3 linked regions of the Daphnia pulex genome follow. The protein of the gene in region 1 binds, or shares a complex with, the protein of each later gene. Links are inferred from orthologs where the notes say so. Each region holds a gene or a part of one and is shown in the gene's direction. Other genes may lie near its edges.

Region 1 (6,100 bases):
CATGCCACGCCTGAACTCGGCGGGTCGATTCAGTCGACGTTACAAATTCCTGAAAGAAAAATATATGCGACCGATTTCATTATAAATGTTTCATCAGAAGTAAATGGATCGTATGTACTTTGGCGGAAGCAGTATACTCTGCCATAAACTGCTGAACAAGTTCAAAAAACTGTTTTGATTCATCCATTTCTTTTGTGGGTTCTACCGGATCCCCAACAAGTTCTGGATGAAAACCGTCATATGAATCATCTGAAAAAAAAAAAGAGAGGGGGAGGGGGCTGATGAGTGAGTATCTCAATTTGAGAGATTAAGTTGGAGAACTAAGAATTATTACCAAGACCACCAGAATTGTCAAAACTATTTTCAAACTCTGGGGTATCTTTGTGGAAATGGTCATCGTCTTCGTTATTGATGTCCTGTTGGTCCATTTCTTCGATCCCTTCCGCGATATTTTCTTTATTGATAGGAGTAAAGGACACATTACTCCACATTCTTTTGCGAATTATTCAAAATATACTGACTTTCAGGCCGAAGTTTTTGTTGTTTTTTAATGACGGTCCCAGTTGTTTTCGTAAAGTGTACGTAATCTTCCCAGAATTCGGTATCAGGCTGGGAATATTTTAAGGCAGGCTTTTTAACGATTTGACTTTTCCCTAGAAATTCGTCTATTTCAACGCAAATTTCTTCATTTATGGGAACCTTCCCCACCCCTTTCCGTTTTCTCCTGTAAGCGATTGTTTGATAAATGACGTAATAAAGCAGTTTGACCGAAAATCGGAACTTACAAGGCAACAGGCATCTTGCATCGAACCGGAGCTCCACAAGGTTTCTTTAAAGCGTCACTTTCGGAATAGGGATCCATACCACCCCAAGGATCTTTTTCTTTTACTTGATTCTCCTGTAAAAAGATGATCAATAATGTAATAAAAAATTTATCTAAAAAAATATTACACATTCGTTCTAATAAAAAAAAAAAAACAGAATTAATGAGTACCACAGAAATTGGAGCCGGAGCTCTCTGGCGTAGTTGCATTCTCTCAACAACTTCTTCGGTTAAACCGTTGGAGTTCCCGTTTTCTTCGAGGTCATCTGGAATGATTTCGTTTTCTGAGGCCATTTCTCCGTCATTTTGCCAATCATCCAAGTTAGGAGGTTCGACTTCTAGATCATCTTGGTGCATAGACGTTATAGGAACTGGTTCGGTTGGCACCAAATCTGCGACGGAATGTTCAGCTTCTTCGTTAAAAATAAAATAAATTAATAAACGGAAAAAAATATCCACATTTTTCATTTTACCTTGGTTTTCGTTAAGGACATCTCTCTCGGGATGTACTTTAAATCCGTTTGCGTGATGGATTTGCAAAAACAAAGTGTAAGGGTCAAAGGGGAAATTAGATCTTAGATCAGAGGGGTAACCCAAATGCTCGTTTGAAAGTGTGTAGAGTTTAATTTTAACAGAATTTAAGCTTCCTATAACTTCTTCTAGTTGCAAGATTTCATACGGTAAAGTTTGGATCTTTTTTGTGTCTTTGGCTGTAGCTTTTCTCTTTAATTTTGAGCCAAACTTTCTAAACTTCAGTGGAATTGGTTCTGTGATAAGATCTACATCTCCTTTGTGATGTTTTTTTCGGTGATTTCTTCTTATCTTGGAGCCAGGTGTTTGATTTTCATCATTTTCATTACCATTCCTATAGAGAGTAGAGAGAAATGTGTTTTATTAGAAAGTAAAACATTGTACAGTACATGATTTTAGTTACCCATTCGAACTTAAAAACTCAATCACTTCTTGGAGAAGAAGCCAGAGCTGCTCAACTTTCTTGCTATAGATTTGTGCACTATTCTGTACAACCATAGCAGCCTTAGCAAAATCTAGCTTCATTTGCTCCCCGTTTACATTAACTTCAATCCGCAAATCTTGAATATACTGGACATATTCCTCCAATTTATCAGCTATATTCAGCTCCCAACATCCTTGTTTAGTAAGCTCTCGAATTGGCTTAAGAAGAGCAGCAAATTGAGAACTGAAAACATCATCTTCTTCAACAGAACTCCCACTCGAATTCGCAAGACCAGGGCCCATTGTTTAACACGACTGCGAAACTTATTACAACAAAAAATATCTCGAATCTTTAACTATTTCAGAAAAAGAAGAACATTTTTCATATTGAAAAATAAACTGTCAGCCACTTTGCCTGAACAAACAAGAAAACACAACAATTCAAAAATTGAATTTTGGAGTAAACGTAAGTGTTGCGTTTAGTTCTGAAGTACAAGGCCCACTATGCAACTAAATCAAGGGTCAAACTTTGGTGGCCATGTACGTAGCGCCACCTATAATGACTCTCAGTGTTTAGATTTTTGCGAAAACTAACCAAAACTCTTTAATTTTGCAACAATCAAATTCTAATTAAAATATTTTACACCTCTTAAATTTCGTGTCATCATAGTGTAAACATATTGAATTGCTAAATGCAAGTTAATGAATACTAACCGCTGGAAGACGCAGTCAAACGGCCTTCTTTCTATTCTCATTCTTGTGCGCCGCAACTGCTTTTTGCCTTTCGTAATTCGTATGAGCACCGTCTTGCCTTTTCAACGTTTCATTGAATTGTCAGCAAGTTCATACGACTCCCGCGTGCTGAGATTACTGTTGTGTTCTAAAAACTTGTGTGACGACCGCTAGCCATTGTAAGTTCAAATTGTGAGTTCTCCGAGATTAAGACTTCTGTGGTGTTGCATTTCGTACTCCATAAATATTGGGAGACATTTTTGACATTTTCTTTTTTACTTAGCTGCGGAGTGTGCCGGCTTCTTCAATGATACATCTTTAAAAATGTTTGGACAAAATAGACCCACTTTTGGAGCCCCAACATCAAATACTTTTGGTAATGCATCCAGACAATTATTATTCTTTACCATTGCATAAGCATATTTCATGTTTACAAATGTATCTTATCTTGTCATTACGTCACCATTTAAATTTCAACATTTTTTGTTTGCCCTCCATTGTTTGTTGCATTTAGGCGGTTTCGGTACAAATACATCAACAGGATTTGGGCAGTCTTCGTTTGGGGCAAAGCCAACTGGAACGGCTGCACCAACTTTCCAATCTACAGGTTTTGGATCAAATACCTCGATGTTTGGAAGCACAGGTACTACAACAAGCCAACCCTCGGGAGGTTTGTTTGGTACACCTACTGCCACTTTTGGAGCAGCACAACCTACAGCAGGATTTGGAGCACCTGCAACTAATACTGGCTTTGGAGGTATTTTATGTTTTATAGTTACATTTCATCAAACAGTAGATATCTTTGATGAACTTCATTAATTTGCAATCAAAGAGCACTTAATCATGTTGTTGGTTTTGTAACAAAAGGATTTGGTGGTGGGACTTCAGGGGGGAGCTTATTTGGAGCCCCTGCTGCTTCAACTGGTATGTTTGGATCTAATACCCAACAAACTGCCCCTTCAACTGGTACAACTGGCATGTTTGGAGCAGCCACCAATACAGGATTTGGAGCTCAAGCTAAACCTACATTTGGCTTTGGAGCAACTAGTACCTCCAGTAGCTTGTTTGGACAACCCCAATCCCAGCCCACTCAAACCACCTCACTTTTTGGACAGCCCACAGCACAAGCAACGCCGTCAACGGGTACTGGTTTGTTTGGGACATCATCTTTTGGTAACACAATTGGGGGATTTGGTGGTACTGGTGGAGCCATTACTGGTACCCCAGTAAAATTCAGTCCTCTAACAGGGACAGACTCTATGGTATAATATTTATTCATACACATATTTTTCTCTATGAATTATAATTTTCATTTTGTGGTCTTTAGATGAAAAACAATGTCCAAACGACAATAAACACACACCATCAGTGTATAACATGCATGAAAGAATATGACAATAAATCTTTGGAAGAACTTAGATTTGAAGACTACTCTGTAGGACGGAAAGGACCGACCCCGGGAACCGCACCACAAACTGGAGGATTATTTGGTGGGACCACTACGACTACCCAATCAACTCCGTTATTTGGACAAACTCAACAGACGCCCCTTTTCGGAACACCAGCACCCAGTAAGTATTTTTCTTGTGTATGATGAACAAAAGAGATAATTCGTATGTATTTAGCTATGGGACAGCCGAGCTTATTTGGACAGCCTCAACAGCAACAAGCTCAACCTTCGGCCTTTGGAGCAAAACCCATGGGGTTTGGTCAACCTGCTACTTCCACTCAATCATCATTTGGTTTCGGGACGCCTGCACCTCAACAGCAACAACAGCAGCAACCCAGTCTCTTCGGTCAGCAACAACAAAATAAACCTTTTGGCTCATCGATTTTCGGTCCCCAATCTACGAGCCAACCCACTCCTGCTTTCGGGACACAAACACCCGCTCCCGCATTTGGATTTGGTGCCCCACAACAGGTAATGATAATATTTTTATTTATTCCTTTTTATTTGAGATTGTTTCCTACTTATCGTTTTCTTTTTATTTCTGATTATTGCAGACCAGTCAAAGCTTTTTCAACACTCCAAAGCCAGCAATGGGAGTTCAGACTTCAACAGCAGGTTTTGGTTTTCCTCAAACGACAACCACTCAGTCCGCTGGATCCAACATCTTCGGTGCGAAACCAATAACTGGTTTTGGAGCGACACCTACCCCTGCATTTGGAACTACTCCCGCTCAAACAACGACGCCAGCGTTCGGTGGATTTGGTACATCAGGTTAGATCAGGAAATTGTTTTTGTTGTTTGTTTGTGTTTGCACCAAAAAAAATTTCGACTGTATTTTTTATAGGTACTACTGGAACTGGGTTGTTCACACCTGGACAAACGGCTTTTGGAGTCAAACCAGCCGGGCAAACATTTGGTGCGGTGACATCAACTCCGTCGACTCTAGGATTCGGTCAAAATACAATGTTCGGCGGGGCATCGGCTGCAAATGCAAAGCCCAGTCCATTTGGCGGTACTCCCTTTGGAAGTTCTGGCTTTGGCACTACACCTAGCTTTGGAACAGCTACTGGTGGGATGGGTACTGGCGCTCCCGGTTCACTCTTTGGGAACACAAGTATTGGAGCACCCTCAACTTCAATGTCTTTCGGAACGACGCAGCCTACTACTGGAACTAGCAGTTCCCAGTTGCCTATTCATCAGTATATCTTGACGCTAAGTGAGATTTCTCAGTCTAGTGATCATCCTCTCTTCCGGAAAATGCTGGAACCGTCAGGTAAGCCACTTCGAATGAACACAGTTGAACGCATTTCATTCATTAATTGTTTCATTGCGTTTTCAGGAAAAACAGAAGAATTGATCAAATCAAGCGCCCGTACCAGTTTGTCCAACGGGGCTGCACCAACTCCTCCTCAATACCGTATCTCACCCCTTCCCTCGAATAAAATCCGCACGAAAGCTTTGCTTAACGGATCCTCGACTGGTGGTGGAAGACGTTCGATTTTTGAAGGATTGAGCGACGAAGAAGAAGGTGAGGAGAACGGAGCTGGATCGGAAGCGAAAACAGATTTCTTCGTACCTCGACGAAGTGTCAAGAAACTTCAACTGAAAGCCATTTCCCTCGACACTACCGTCGATACTGATAATAAGCCGGACGATGATGCTGAACCCATCAAATCAGCACCGTTAATCACACCTTCTGAAGAAAGACCTGTTGTCCTAGACTCTCGACCAGATCTTAGAGTCCGAGAAGAACTTGATGATAGTTTGACTGTGTTGAAGATACGTAGACCAACTGTTGCGTTCCTTAACCAATCAGCGATGCTAGAACGCAGTAGTATGCTGGATGAAACTGGCCTTGGAGAAGGGGAAGTCACTGTTGCAGAGGAAATCAGTGAAACAGTCGAAGAAGAAATCGTGCCTCCTCACCCTGCTGGCATAGTTTTACGTCGTTGCGGATATTCGACAATGCCGACCATGGAAGACTTGGCAATCAAAGGATTGGATGAAAATGGGAAGTGTATTATTACTTCGTTTTCTATTATTCGTCAGGGCTATGGTCGAATATTTTTCGAAGGCCCTTTGGATGTCGCGAACTTGAATCTGGATGAAATTGGTTAGTGACCTCACAATAATTCTTTAAA
Region 2 (6,100 bases), on another chromosome or scaffold:
CTTGTTTTCACAGGTCTTCCTCACTTTTCGGTCGGTTACATGCGCAATTGGGGAAGAGATACGTTCATCTCGTTGCGTGGTCTTCTGTTGTTGACTGGTCGTTACCAGGAAGCACGCTACATCATTCTGGCATTTGGAGGTTGTCTCCGCCACGGTTTGATTCCAAACCTGTTGGATGGCGGTTCCAAAGCTCGTTTCAATTGCCGTGACGCGATTTGGTGGTGGTTGCAATCCATTTGCGATTATTGCCGTCTGGCTCCCAGGGGTCACACGATCTTGGACGACGCCGTTACCCGTCTCTTCCCTGATGATGAATCGCCTCCGTTGCCAGCTGGAGCCAAAGTATGATTTGATATTAAATCACTAGTAGTATTAACAATTCATGAAATTATATAATTTCTTTTTTAATTAATTAACAACAGAATCAGCCGCTGTGCGACGTGATGCAAGAAGCCCTTCAACGCCATTTCCAGGGTGTAGAATTCCGCGAACGTAATGCTGGATTCGCCATCGATCGCGAAATGTTGGATGCAGGCTTCAACAATAAGGTCGGCGTCAGCGTCGAAACTGGATTTGTTTTCGGTGGCAACGCCCATAATTGCGGAACTTGGATGGACAAGATGGGATCAAGCGCTAAGGCCGGTAACAAGGGAGAACCAGCAACTCCTCGTGACGGTTCTGCTGTTGAGATCGTTGGCCTTTCTCGCTCCGTCGTTGGATATTTGTGGGAATTGTTTACAGCTGGAACTTATCCGTACGCCGGCGTCGAGCGGGTTAACGAAGACGGAACTAAGACTCGCTGGACTTACGACGAATGGGCTCGTCAAATTGATCGCAACTTTGAGCGACATTTCTGGATTAATGTCGATCCAGAACCAACGGCCGAACCCCATCCTGAGCTTATCAATCGTCGAGGCATCTACAAAGATTCTTATATGGCATCCAAACCCTGGGCTGATTATCAATTGAGACCTAACTTTGTGGTCGCCATGGCTGTGGTAAGAATAACGGATTTCTATCATTTTTATCTTTCTCACATTAACTGTTTCATTACGTTTACGTTTAAAGGCTCCGACCATGTTTACACCATCGAGAGCATGGCAAGCATTACAAATGGCTCTTCAGCACTTGTTAGGACCATTGGGCATGGCAACTTTGGACAATTCTGATTGGTCCTACCGACCAGATTATTGCAATTCGGACGAAGGAGATGATCCCAGCACGGCTCACGGTTTCAACTACCACCAAGGACCCGAGTGGCTCTGGCCAGTTGGTTTCCTACTCCAAGCCATGCTTTATTTCGCTCCATTGGTCGGCGGAGTCTCCGAACTCAGAAAAACCATCCGCAAAGTCAAGTCTATTTTATCGCGCCACTTTGTCGAAATTCAACAATCGCCCTGGCGCTCACTTCCCGAGCTTACCAATAAAAATGGCAAAGTCTGTAATGATTCGAGTCCAGCTCAAGCCTGGTCTATGGCCACCATTCTCGAGGTGATGAAAAAAAAATAAATATTACAATTTTTGAATTTAATGTACTAACTTGGTCATTTTGTCACTTTTCAGGTTTTGCATGAACTGGACAATATCGAACATAAACAGAAACTAAGCATCACCGCATTGTGAACTTAGAATTGTGATTGAATTCTTTTGTTGCCCCGGGGTCCTTAGTTGCTTTTCAGAATTCGAAATATACGCAGTTCTATTACTAGGGAAAAAGAAGAAGAGAGTAGTTTAAACTTATGTTTCCCACCTTCAGCCGCACCCGTACATTATATTATTAGCGTTTTCCCACTTCAGCGCATGTGTTGTTCTTCCACAATTTTAAAAACATTTTTTGTCGATTTAATTATGTTTGTTATTCACTTGGTGGAGAATTCTATTATGCCGCTTTCCAAAAGCAGTGTTGTAATTTGTAGCAATACACGGCGTCATGCCTGCTAGTGAATATACTCGTTCTTTTTGCCTCAACTCAAATTTTGTCATAAAATTAGTGTACCAACGAGTTTGGTTTTCAATCGCTAGGTGGCGCTGAACGGTAAATGTAGTTCTGCCGTTTGCCGGTTTGGAAATTTAGATTCGTCTGAAACGAATTTGTTTCTCAGCTGCCCGCGCGATTGCAACTGTAGAAACGAGTTAAAAACATGTCTAGTTGTCTTAAAGGAAATCTTTCTGGCTTTTCTCTTCTCGGATTGCGTGAAGTAATTCCAGATCAGACAGGCATAGAACAATGGAAGGAACTATTACTGAATACGGGTAATTCAAGTGAACTTGTTGAGCTACACCGGCTACAGTTCTTTCTTTTTCAACCGAAACGGTGTCGCTTTTCTTAAACACTGACCTGTATTCTGTTTTAACCAGGTGGAACTCATTTGACACTCCAAGATATTAAACTACCTGAAGGTTGCACAGCAGGAGGATACTGTTTCACTGATTCCAATTCAACTGTCACTCGGAACCGTTTCATATGCTGGTACAGCTATCATTTACATAATTTAAATGCTGCTGTAAGTAAGACTCATTCTGTATTATTTGTTTTGAACAGGCAAATTTCCAATGATGTCCTGGAGCTAGTAGAACACAGTTTAGACTTGAACTTACACGGCAACTGTCTTCGAATCAGATTTCAAGGCCTTCCATTATTAGAGGGGACATCCATTCATGAAACAAAAAATAATGTAGTTATTCTCGTCTCCACCATATCTTCAGTTCATCGTTTGGTTCTACCACATCCAAAAAAACACAATGATCCTACAGCATTCAACTCAATGGGGACCAACATTTCTGTACCATCCATCTTTACTGAAGCATCCCTTCCCTGGTTGAGGGAATCATTGAGCCACCAGGTCATCAACAGCACCGCCACCAATTTTTCACTCCCCAGCACTGCTGCATCTTACTTTTCTGGAAAAAGTAAAGAAGCATTGTTTGCTTTGGCAAACACTTCGTCGATTTCTCTCATTCGTATGGGTCAATCTCCTTCGGCAGTTACCACATATAATTTGCAGCCTTCCTCAAATTTATCACGTTTACTTTCTGGTTACCTGCCTACTGTGTTAAGAGGAAGCTCATCACAGGAAAACGAAGATACTACGGCAAGCATTTGTTTATTGCCGACAAATGACGACGTTCTTGTGCTGGCCGTCAGCAAAGGCTTGAAATTGCGAATTTGGTCAGCAGCAACCCAGGAGTGTCGTTTGGAGTTCGATTTGGTTGAATTCTTCGGAGACAAATCAGTCAAGCAGCTTGGCTCTCTTCACAGAATCCGGTGGTGTCCTGACGGCGTCGACTTCAAACTGGTCGTCTTCTCGTCCTTTGGCAAGAATAGATCTTTTCTTCTCATTGATCTACAGACGGGCCCTACACTCAAGCTCAATTTCCAGTCATCCGTTACTGCACAACATAGTCGTTTAATCGACTTCAGCCTGACTTCAAATCACCTTTATGCACTATGGAGCACTTCGCGGGGTGAATATCTGTTGGAATTCGCCGAAACGACCCTGCTAGAGTGGCAACAGGTTGCGTTGGAACCTGGCGTCGATTCGGAAATTGAATACGACGATACCGTCGTTGACCCTAAACAAGCGTACATGCAGGCACTTTTCAAACCGGGCGTATTCTCGATTTCAACCTTGAGTAAGGCTCTGCAAGCTTTTGATCGTTCGGCATCGACAAGTAGGAGGAGACCTGGAGATATAAAAGAAGACATCATTATGGCTATCGAGGTTGAACTGAAAGAGCAGATTTCCGATGCAGATGATGTGACAGAAGAACTTTATCTGCAACTTTCGGCCAAATACTGGGCCCAATTCTACGCCTATGCTGTTCAGTATCATTTGAAGCGGCCAATTCCTGTTGGTTTACTCATTGATGACGAAACTGGCTTCCATGCTCTACTTAAACGAGGAATGGTTTCATTTTTGCGTCCGTTGGATCTGGTTGAGAGTTTGGTTTTGCAACGAGGCCGTCGCTGGGATATGCAGCCATTTTCGAGTGGAATTGCTTCGCTTTTCGGGGGTCAGCAATCAACTTCTGGCCTTACTGCTCTGCTCGAGGTAACATTTCTTTTATTTGTTGTGTACATAGATTTTGACGAATTTTGTTCTTTTACAGATTCTGTTTGTGGTCAGCGATAGTTTGTCAACGGAGCAAATAAAGCGCTTTGATCAATCAATGTTTCAGTTGGAAAGTGCAGATCAAATTGCCAGGGATATTGCTGATGAACTGCTGGAGAACGAATCAATTAATTTGCTCAACGCTGTCCAAATGGCTTTGTCTTCTGTTGACATTTGCCTGGCCTTGTCTGTTCTTCTCCAACAGCTCAGCGTCGGCATGAATGGAGGCGATCCCAAATTTGGCGAAGTTTCCTTCAATAATAAAAGTTCCTTTCGTTTGCTTTTCAATGGAAGTCTTGGATTGGGAGCATTAGCCGAATCATCCCGACAGATGGCTGATTTAAGGTAGTAATTCAGAAAATGTTTCATTACCTTTTTAAATTAAAATGATGTTACTTTCGCAGGTTGGAATTGTGTCGAGATGTACTGATTGTACAGCAGTTGCTTATATTAACACAGAAGAAGCTTCAGCTGCGTCCCGAAGATGCCGAAACCATTCGCTCAGAGTTCCTCCCTCGTAGCGTCCCCCTGGCTCACGCCTACTATGCTTTATCTTGGTTATGCCACTTCCCGGCCCAAACGGTTTCCAATTCCCTCACCGAACAAAATATTCGCACAATGGCTTTGTTGGGATTCAAAAAATCTCAAGAGTCTTACGGTAAGTTTGAAAACATCTAAATTTCCCATTTTTCCAAATTGAAATAATACTGATTAAACAATTCCATAGCGACTTTGCCGTGCAAGAGCTTGGTTGAACTCTTCCTATCCTTGGATGGAGGTCAAGCTGTACGAGAAATGGTCCTGCAGGAAGAAGATGCTGCTGAATGGACGTCCTCTTGGTTAGATGTTTTCCCACACTTTATGAAAGCCATTGGCCAGCTGCTTTGGCCCATTGGAAATCACATGACTTTCATGGAATTTCTGATGGAACGCTTCCAACCCTTGGCCGTACAGGGATACGTCCGCCTGCAACAGAACTGGTTTGTAAATATTGTACTTCAATATTAGATGCGTTTATTGATTTTTTTAAATGCAAATTCCGCCCAGGTGTGAATGGAATACGTGCTCTCGAAAATTTCTGATGGCTGTCGCACTTGTGGCTACCGGTGAAGGAGATAAAGCCAGTAAGTGGATGCTTGAAGCTGCTGAAGGAATCATCAAAGAACAACTTCTTCACTCGATTGTCACAAAGGGAGCGAATGAAAGTGGTGACGCTGGAAGTCGTGCTGATCCGGTGATGCGCTTTCATCTCATATGCGTCCAATTGTTAGAGCAGGCGGGACTATGCAGTGCTGCTCTTCGTGTGGCTCTTGTAGCCCTAAACAGTAGTAAAACGGACGACCCCCTTTTGCCTACAATATGGTCGATTGTTGCCAAGCTTCATTTGAACTTGGGCCACTATCAGGTAATAAATCAAACGCATTTTATCAGATTTCACGCCCTTACGTATCCATTCACTGCTAATAGGAAGCATACGAAGCCATCGTAAATAATCCGGATAGCAGTCAGCGACCTGAAACTCTTGGACGTCTGGTCAATATTTTGCTGGAACGCAAGCAGATGGATATTCTTTTAACTTTCCCTTACGCCGGATTGGAATCAGAATTGGAAAAAATTGTGGAGAGAAGGGCTCGCTCATCAGATGTTCTATCTATGACGCTTTATTACTCCTTTCTCTATGCATTTCACGTCCGCCAGGGTAAAATGCGCAAAGCTGCCGCTGTGATGCACGAACAGGTAATGTGTACTATCAACCACTTTAGGCCTTGGATCACCGTTACTGATGTAATTTGTTTCATTAAAGGCACTTCGATATGGATGTGAAGGAGAGTCAGCCAAAATGGTCAAATGTCTTTTGGCTTGTCTCAACGCCCTGCGCCTAGTCTCTAGACAGGAAGCCTGGTTGGTTAAACCAGTAACTACGTTGAATCGTAAGGATTCATCAGAACCGTTTAGACATACGGTTGACGTCATCGAGTATGCTGATA
Region 3 (6,100 bases), on another chromosome or scaffold:
TTATTATATTTCCGCACCTGTCATCAGTTAGTTGTGCCATTTGTTGTTGTAGTCTCATTCAAGAAACGAGTTGCTGTTGATTGCTCTTCTTCCGTTGTCATTTGGGTATGTTCACACTTCCTTAAAAACCAATAATACACTATTCTACATGTGGGAAATCGCCTACTGGCATTTCACTTTTAATTATTAGAAGTGTAGAGTTCCTAAATATTTGTGAAAGTATTAAACCTTTACAAATGTTTCAACAGAACTTTTTCGAACTAGTTCGAAACCTACTTGAAAATCAAAATGGACACATCAGATGATGATTGGAGAGTTTTGCAATTCATCTTTCTTGCAGCAGTGATATCGGAATCGATAACTGAATTGGAGGAAATACTTGCCACTCAAGGACCAGAAATCACAAAAGTACTAGCCACGTCAGTCGACGAGCATGGAACTTCCCCCATGATGATGACCGCAATTCGGCACGAGTGTTATAAAGTCGTCGCATTTCTGATAGCCAATTTCGGAGTCGATGTTACGGGATGTCACGGGACATTTGAGTGGAATGGAACAAAGTATTGCAATGTCTCACCTTTGTGCGCAGCCATCATAAGTCGCCAGCTGGGCATAATATCTCAGTTTATCACCATCCAACACGGACAGTTGGATAAGGTCATCGCCGACATGGAGGGAATCAAGTCGAGTTCGATCAGTCGAGAGGATAAAATCGAAGTGCTGGAATTGATGGGAGCCGCCTACGTTTTCTACAACAGGGATTCCTCGAAGTACGCCATTTTCATCTGGAAAGAAGCCATGAGACTTCGTCATTCGACCGTCGATGGAGAACCGGTGATCCCCAAAGTAATTCCCCCTCAGTCCTCGTATCTTTTTGCCAAGGCGATGGGCTTCACTTCCGAATTCACGACTCTGGAACACCTCGACCAACTGGAAGCACAGCTTAACTTTGTCGTCCCTGAAATGAATCTCGACACTCAGGCCTTGTTAGTCAGTCAGAGGATGCTGCATCAATCCGATCCTGAGCAACATAAATATATCCTCGCCCACATGTGCGAATACGCCGGTGCATTCCACCATGAAAGGCAGTTCAATCGAGCCATCAGCATCGGCATGTACATGATGGGTCAGTTCCAAGGACTCGAAAAAGAATGGGACGATCCATTTGTCAACAGTATGATCACCAAAGTAATTAAAATCATGGTTGGAAGTTTCATCGAGCTCATGGACCTGCCGAGCTCCGACAGAGAAGAGTTCACCTTCGCCAATATTATGACCGTAATGGAATATTCCTTGGAACATCATGTGAAGCTGGACTACTATATCGGAAACGAATGGACTGGTGGAGTCGAATGGTTGATTATCGACCAGATCGACATTTTGACTGAACTCCTTCCAACACTGAATGAACAAGAACTTCACCGATTCAAGCGGACTCTCTACAATTTCATTGGAGACGACTACAGATTTAAAATAGTCGAAAAGGGCAATCTCCTCCATCTTGCCTGCTGCTCCTACACAATTATAACGAAACTCTTTCCCCTAAACGTCATGAAATTGTTACTGGAACTCGGAGTCGACCCAAGTGCCACCTCGTCCAACGGAATGACGGCCCTTCACGTGCTGGCCAGTATTGAATGGGAGCGCTGGTCGATCAACACCATAGACGCCATCCAGTTACAGTTGTTGGACTCGGATGCTCATATCGACCAGCCCGATGATGTGGGCATAACACCTTTGGACCTCTTTAAACTAAAGGAAAAAGAACTGGCTGAAAACGGGATCTCAAATGTTTACCTTGGGGCCGTTCACATATGACGTCACGGACTTTTTGACGATTTTACACCCCCCCCCCTCCCCCCTTTGTCACAATTCATCACAGTAGGTATACCCCCCCTCTAATATGACGTCACAAAGTCAGATACCCCCCTCCCTTTTTAAAAATTGTTTGAGCCCCTAAAAATTCTTTATTTTCTGTATTTTCTGTAGTTTTTAATACAGAACACAATGTTGTTCATTATTTTCTTAATTGGTCAAGCAAACGAGGTGCTTTGCTCTAACGATCCAAAAAACTAAAAGAAATTTAGGAAGTTGCCAACATATCCCACTTGGTGGCGCTTGTGTAGTGCCTTGTGACGTCCCACTGTGAATACCCCCCCTACCCCCCCTCGTCACAATTCGTCATACAAGGTGCACCCCCCTCCCCCCCCTCGGCCCGTGACGTCATATGTGAACGGCCCCCTTCAAAGACTGATTCATAAAGTGCGGCCCCTCACATGTTTAGCTGCCCAAGTCGTGAGCCGTCATGGAATCCCATTCGACGACCTGCCGTCCAGTTTAATTTCGTTTGTCAACCGTCACTCATTCTTAAATTGGAATAATTGATTGGAATGTAATGCAAATTGTCTTGGTTAAATCATCATTAATAAACTTGTTTTCTGATCAATTTCTTGTGTTAATTTTTTGCGTGTAAAAGGGGAGAGAATGGACGACCTTCGGGAATGACGAGGTTGATTTAAATTTCTTCGGTTGAACGGAATAGAAATATTTGCGGTGGACTTTCGCTTTTCTGTCTTCCGCCAAAGTTAAAGGATTGGTTCTTCATCGTTAACCGCTAGATGGCATATACCTCCTTTCTTCTCGCTACTTCCACAGAAAAAATGTAGTTTCAAGTTTTGAACGTGAACGCTAACGATATCATTGAAAATCGGCTTGTCGACTTTTTTACCAATTAGACAGATACCAAATAAGATTTATACAAGAAAGTAAGGATAACTTATTCTTGAAATGGCATTTTCTAGTGGAAGTCTTTTCCAACCAGCCCAGTCTACTACATCCAACACAGGTAATACACACAAACTAGTGTCAACTCCAGCATTACTATATATTTGAATGATAATTATCTAAGTGAAATCATTTTGCCTTCGTTGTTGAACATGCTACAATGCATGGCTTTTTCATTTATTTTCTGTTTATTAGTTTTTCTTGAGATTACATTTTCTAGTCCAACCAAATGCTGCAATCATTTTTGTTCAAGCACAACACTGATTGAGAATTGTTCATTATTTTATCATAGAAATAGGAGATAACAAATAAAATTTTATAGAATTAAACTTATGTGTTGCAATGCATTTGACTCATTTTCACTTCTAGGAGGGCTGTTTGGAGGTACTGGTCAGACTGGTACTACTCCATTTGGAGGCTTTGGTGTGCAGCAAGTTAGCACAGCAAATCAGTCCTTTTCATTTGGAACTCCTCAAAATTCTGCTTCAACATCAGGATTTGGCTCTCAACAAACTAACACCACTGCAACAGTACCTTCTTTTGGTTTTGGCAGTACCCAACCTACTTCAGGTGCTCCAGCGTTTGGATTTGGTACCACCCAAACTAGCACAGCTGCTCCATCGTTTGGATTTGGTGCAACACAAACAAATACCACTACACCTGCTTTCGGATTCGGTGGAACTAATACTGGTGGAGCTCCATCATTCAGCTTTGGGCAGCCACAGACAAGCAACGCTGGATTCGGTTTTGGCACTGGAGCCCCTGCTGTCTCATCGTCGTCCGGACTTTTTTCTGGAACAGGTAATATTTTTTTATGGAATGACTTGGAACGAATTATTTGACTACTTTTCTGTATTAGGATTTGGATCTTTTGGAACATCTCTGGGAGGAACCGGGATAACAACACCAGCTTCTAGTAGCTTTTCTTTGGGAACTACATTTGGAAGTACAGCCCCAACAACAGGCCTGTTTGGTCAACAACAACAACAAACGTTTGCTCCTGCTCAGCAAGCCGGTACTGTTGTCGAATCTGTTCTCTCATCCGTACTTTACTGTAACATTTACGGTGATGAGCGCGATGCAATCTTGGCTCGTTGGAATCTCCTTCAAGCAGCTTGGGGAACCGGAAAAGGTTTGACTCCACCTTAATTGCGGTTCAATTTAAATATTAGAATGTCTTCATTTTACTCACATTGTTATTGGTGTCTAGGATTTTACTCTGGCACGGCTAGTGCTATCCAATATACTGCAGAGAATTCATTGTGTCGCTTTAAAGCCATTGGCTACAGCAAACTACCACAAGGAAAGAATGAAGATGGAATAATTGTTTTGCTGTTTAACAAACCCGAAACAGATATTCGGTAGATAAAATTATAAAAACCGTAATTGCATATAGATTTATTTATGGATTCAATTTGCAGGCGAGACCAAGCTCAGTTAGTCAGTGTGATAACTACGGCGCTGGGCAATAAACCCAATCTGAATGTGTCCGTCGAGGGCGTGTCTGGCCTAGACACAAATAAGACAGAGGTTTTGATTTGTGTTCAAGAACGCTCAGCAACTGGCGCAATTCATAAAGTGCCTGCCATTGAATTGTCTAACTTCCTTTGGAATCAACAACCATCTGGGATGATGCAGTCGGCTCGTGGTCAGCTCAGCGCACTTGGAGTCGTTTCGTGTGTTCCTAGAGTCCGACCATCACCCGAACAATTGCGCGAATATCTAGCATCGCCTCCAGCTGGGATTGACGCTCGCATTTGGAAACAAGCTCAATCAGAAAATCCTGATCACGATAACTTCATACCCATACCACTGATCGGATTTGGTGACCTTGTTCGTCATTTACACCTACAGGTTCGCATTTCTATATTTAACTTATTCACACTACGCAAATAGTTGAGTTGAAAAAAATAAATCATTGCAGGAGAAAGAGACTCGACGACACCAAGGAACCCTGGACAAGTTAGCTGAGGAATTAGCAAGCCTGCAATCTCGTGCATCAGAAACATCGGTTGCGCTAAGTGAACAGCGACGACGATACATCGACTTGCAACATCGAATCCTCAAAGTTCTTATAAAGCAAGAATGTTCTCGGAAAGAAGGTTTTGCTCTACAGCCAGAAGAGGAACGTTTGCGGGTGCAGCTAGAGTCTGTGCACAATGAACTAAGCATCCCTACGCAATTTCGAGTAACATATATATTTTTCTAATTAAATGTTAAGTTTATAGAATAATGTTTTACACTGTCAACATCAGGGTCGCTTAAACGAATTGCTTTCGCAAATAAGAATGCGCCAATCTGCCTTTACGCCAGCGGAACGAATGACTGAGAGGTACAACATTGAACCAAATGTTTTGGATGATCTGAAACAAGTAAGGAAGTTGTCACAATTTTTAAAGTTAATTTGTTAGCTTTGTCTCATTTTGAATGATCTCGTTCCTATAGGTCCTTAAGTCACAGCAAGAAGGAATGGCTCAGTTAATGAATGTATTGAAAGAAGATTTTAATGATTTGCTTGTTTTAGATAATGCTTTGAAACACTAAAATAGCGACCGAAAATATTCTTCATCAACTAAGTACGAATTTTACTGTTTTCAAGGGTCTAATACACGGAAAAAAAATTTCATTAAAAAAAAATCTTTAGATTCATATCATAATTGAAAATTAGTAGATCGTATTTGATTTTTTACTTTCGTAAGAATATTAGCCAATTTCTCGTACTCGTACTCGTTTATTAGATAATATAGCGTGTTACAATCAATAGTTCATTACATTACACATTGGGTAATACAAACCGCGATTACAATACAAAGAAGTTAAACTTTTACGTAAACAGCAAATAATCGTGACAAAATATTGCTGTCCGATAGTATACTAATTATTTCTCGAAATGGAAATTTACGAGATAGGCAATTTCGATGGTTTAGTTCACGGTCGTGTCCCCTACACTTCACTTTGAATGGATTGTGGGTTGTCAAAACTTTGTTTAGTCGTGGTACTACAGTCAGGAACTTTAACAGTTTGACTTTTACGCTTTTTAAAAAAATAAAAAGCCAAAACAACCAGCACAATAAAAAGGATTAATAGGACACCCAAAACTATATATATGGTGTAGGAATGCGCCTCTTCATCATCAGTTCTAGGTTTGAAAATTTCCTCCGTCACTGATTCGCCATCAGTTTTACTGCTTGGCGTCGCAATATCTGGTTGTCCAGAATACGGAAAACCAGTTTCTTCCTCACAGTCATTGAAATTCATTTGGAGAATGGATTGTGCTGCCATTTGTTGGCGACAGTTTGTGTTATTTGCGTTTTCA

The links. The genes of interacting proteins can lie anywhere in the genome.
Region 2: nuclear pore complex protein Nup98-Nup96-like (region 1) and nuclear pore complex protein Nup160-like share a complex: the UniProt entries of both Drosophila melanogaster proteins name them as parts of the nuclear pore complex. The link is inferred for Daphnia pulex from reciprocal best matches to the Drosophila melanogaster genes Nup98-96 and Nup160.
Region 3: nuclear pore complex protein Nup98-Nup96-like (region 1) and nuclear pore complex protein Nup54-like share a complex: the UniProt entries of both Drosophila melanogaster proteins name them as parts of the nuclear pore complex. The link is inferred for Daphnia pulex from reciprocal best matches to the Drosophila melanogaster genes Nup98-96 and Nup54.

Annotation. Positions count from the first base shown.
Region 1 is NC_060021.1:8,258,439-8,264,538, forward strand, and holds the start of nuclear pore complex protein Nup98-Nup96-like, read left to right. Parts: upstream 1-2,531; 5' UTR 2,532-2,688; exon of another isoform or gene 2,689-2,701; intron 2,702-2,792; 5' UTR 2,793-2,833; coding exon 2,834-2,885; intron 2,886-3,023; coding exon 3,024-3,266; intron 3,267-3,376; coding exon 3,377-3,771; intron 3,772-3,836; coding exon 3,837-4,080; intron 4,081-4,134; coding exon 4,135-4,430; intron 4,431-4,513; coding exon 4,514-4,730; intron 4,731-4,803; coding exon 4,804-5,232; intron 5,233-5,298; coding exon 5,299-6,072; intron 6,073-6,100. Other genes in the region: condensin-2 complex subunit H2-like, read right to left, coding at 1-49, 119-249, 335-454, 522-724, 786-898, 995-1,236, 1,297-1,688, 1,758-2,080. UniProt on the Drosophila melanogaster protein: Part of the nuclear pore complex (NPC). Required for MAD import as part of the Nup107-160 complex and required for nuclear export of Moe probably via its association with Rae1. Plays a role in nuclear mRNA export.
Region 2 is NC_060017.1:6,358,751-6,364,850, reverse strand, and holds the start of nuclear pore complex protein Nup160-like, read left to right. Parts: upstream 1-2,018; 5' UTR 2,019-2,141; coding exon 2,142-2,253; intron 2,254-2,358; coding exon 2,359-2,470; intron 2,471-2,542; coding exon 2,543-4,052; intron 4,053-4,110; coding exon 4,111-4,457; intron 4,458-4,516; coding exon 4,517-4,770; intron 4,771-4,839; coding exon 4,840-5,092; intron 5,093-5,159; coding exon 5,160-5,517; intron 5,518-5,579; coding exon 5,580-5,849; intron 5,850-5,916; coding exon 5,917-6,100. Other genes in the region: glycogen debranching enzyme-like, read left to right, coding at 14-342, 423-998, 1,069-1,491, 1,564-1,623. UniProt on the Drosophila melanogaster protein: Functions as a component of the nuclear pore complex (NPC). Involved in poly(A)+ RNA transport. Required for nuclear import of Mad. May play a role in double strand break DNA repair. Essential for nephrocyte development.
Region 3 is NC_060022.1:6,651,956-6,658,055, reverse strand, and holds nuclear pore complex protein Nup54-like, read left to right. Parts: upstream 1-2,616; 5' UTR 2,617-2,787; coding exon 2,788-2,845; intron 2,846-3,153; coding exon 3,154-3,585; intron 3,586-3,643; coding exon 3,644-3,916; intron 3,917-3,994; coding exon 3,995-4,145; intron 4,146-4,205; coding exon 4,206-4,638; intron 4,639-4,708; coding exon 4,709-4,972; intron 4,973-5,039; coding exon 5,040-5,156; intron 5,157-5,229; coding exon 5,230-5,328; 3' UTR 5,329-5,727; downstream 5,728-6,100. Other genes in the region: toll-like receptor Tollo, read right to left, coding at 5,728-6,100. UniProt on the Drosophila melanogaster protein: Component of the nuclear pore complex (NPC), a complex required for the trafficking across the nuclear envelope. Essential for the nuclear import of nuclear localization signal (NLS)-containing proteins in an importin alpha/importin beta-dependent manner.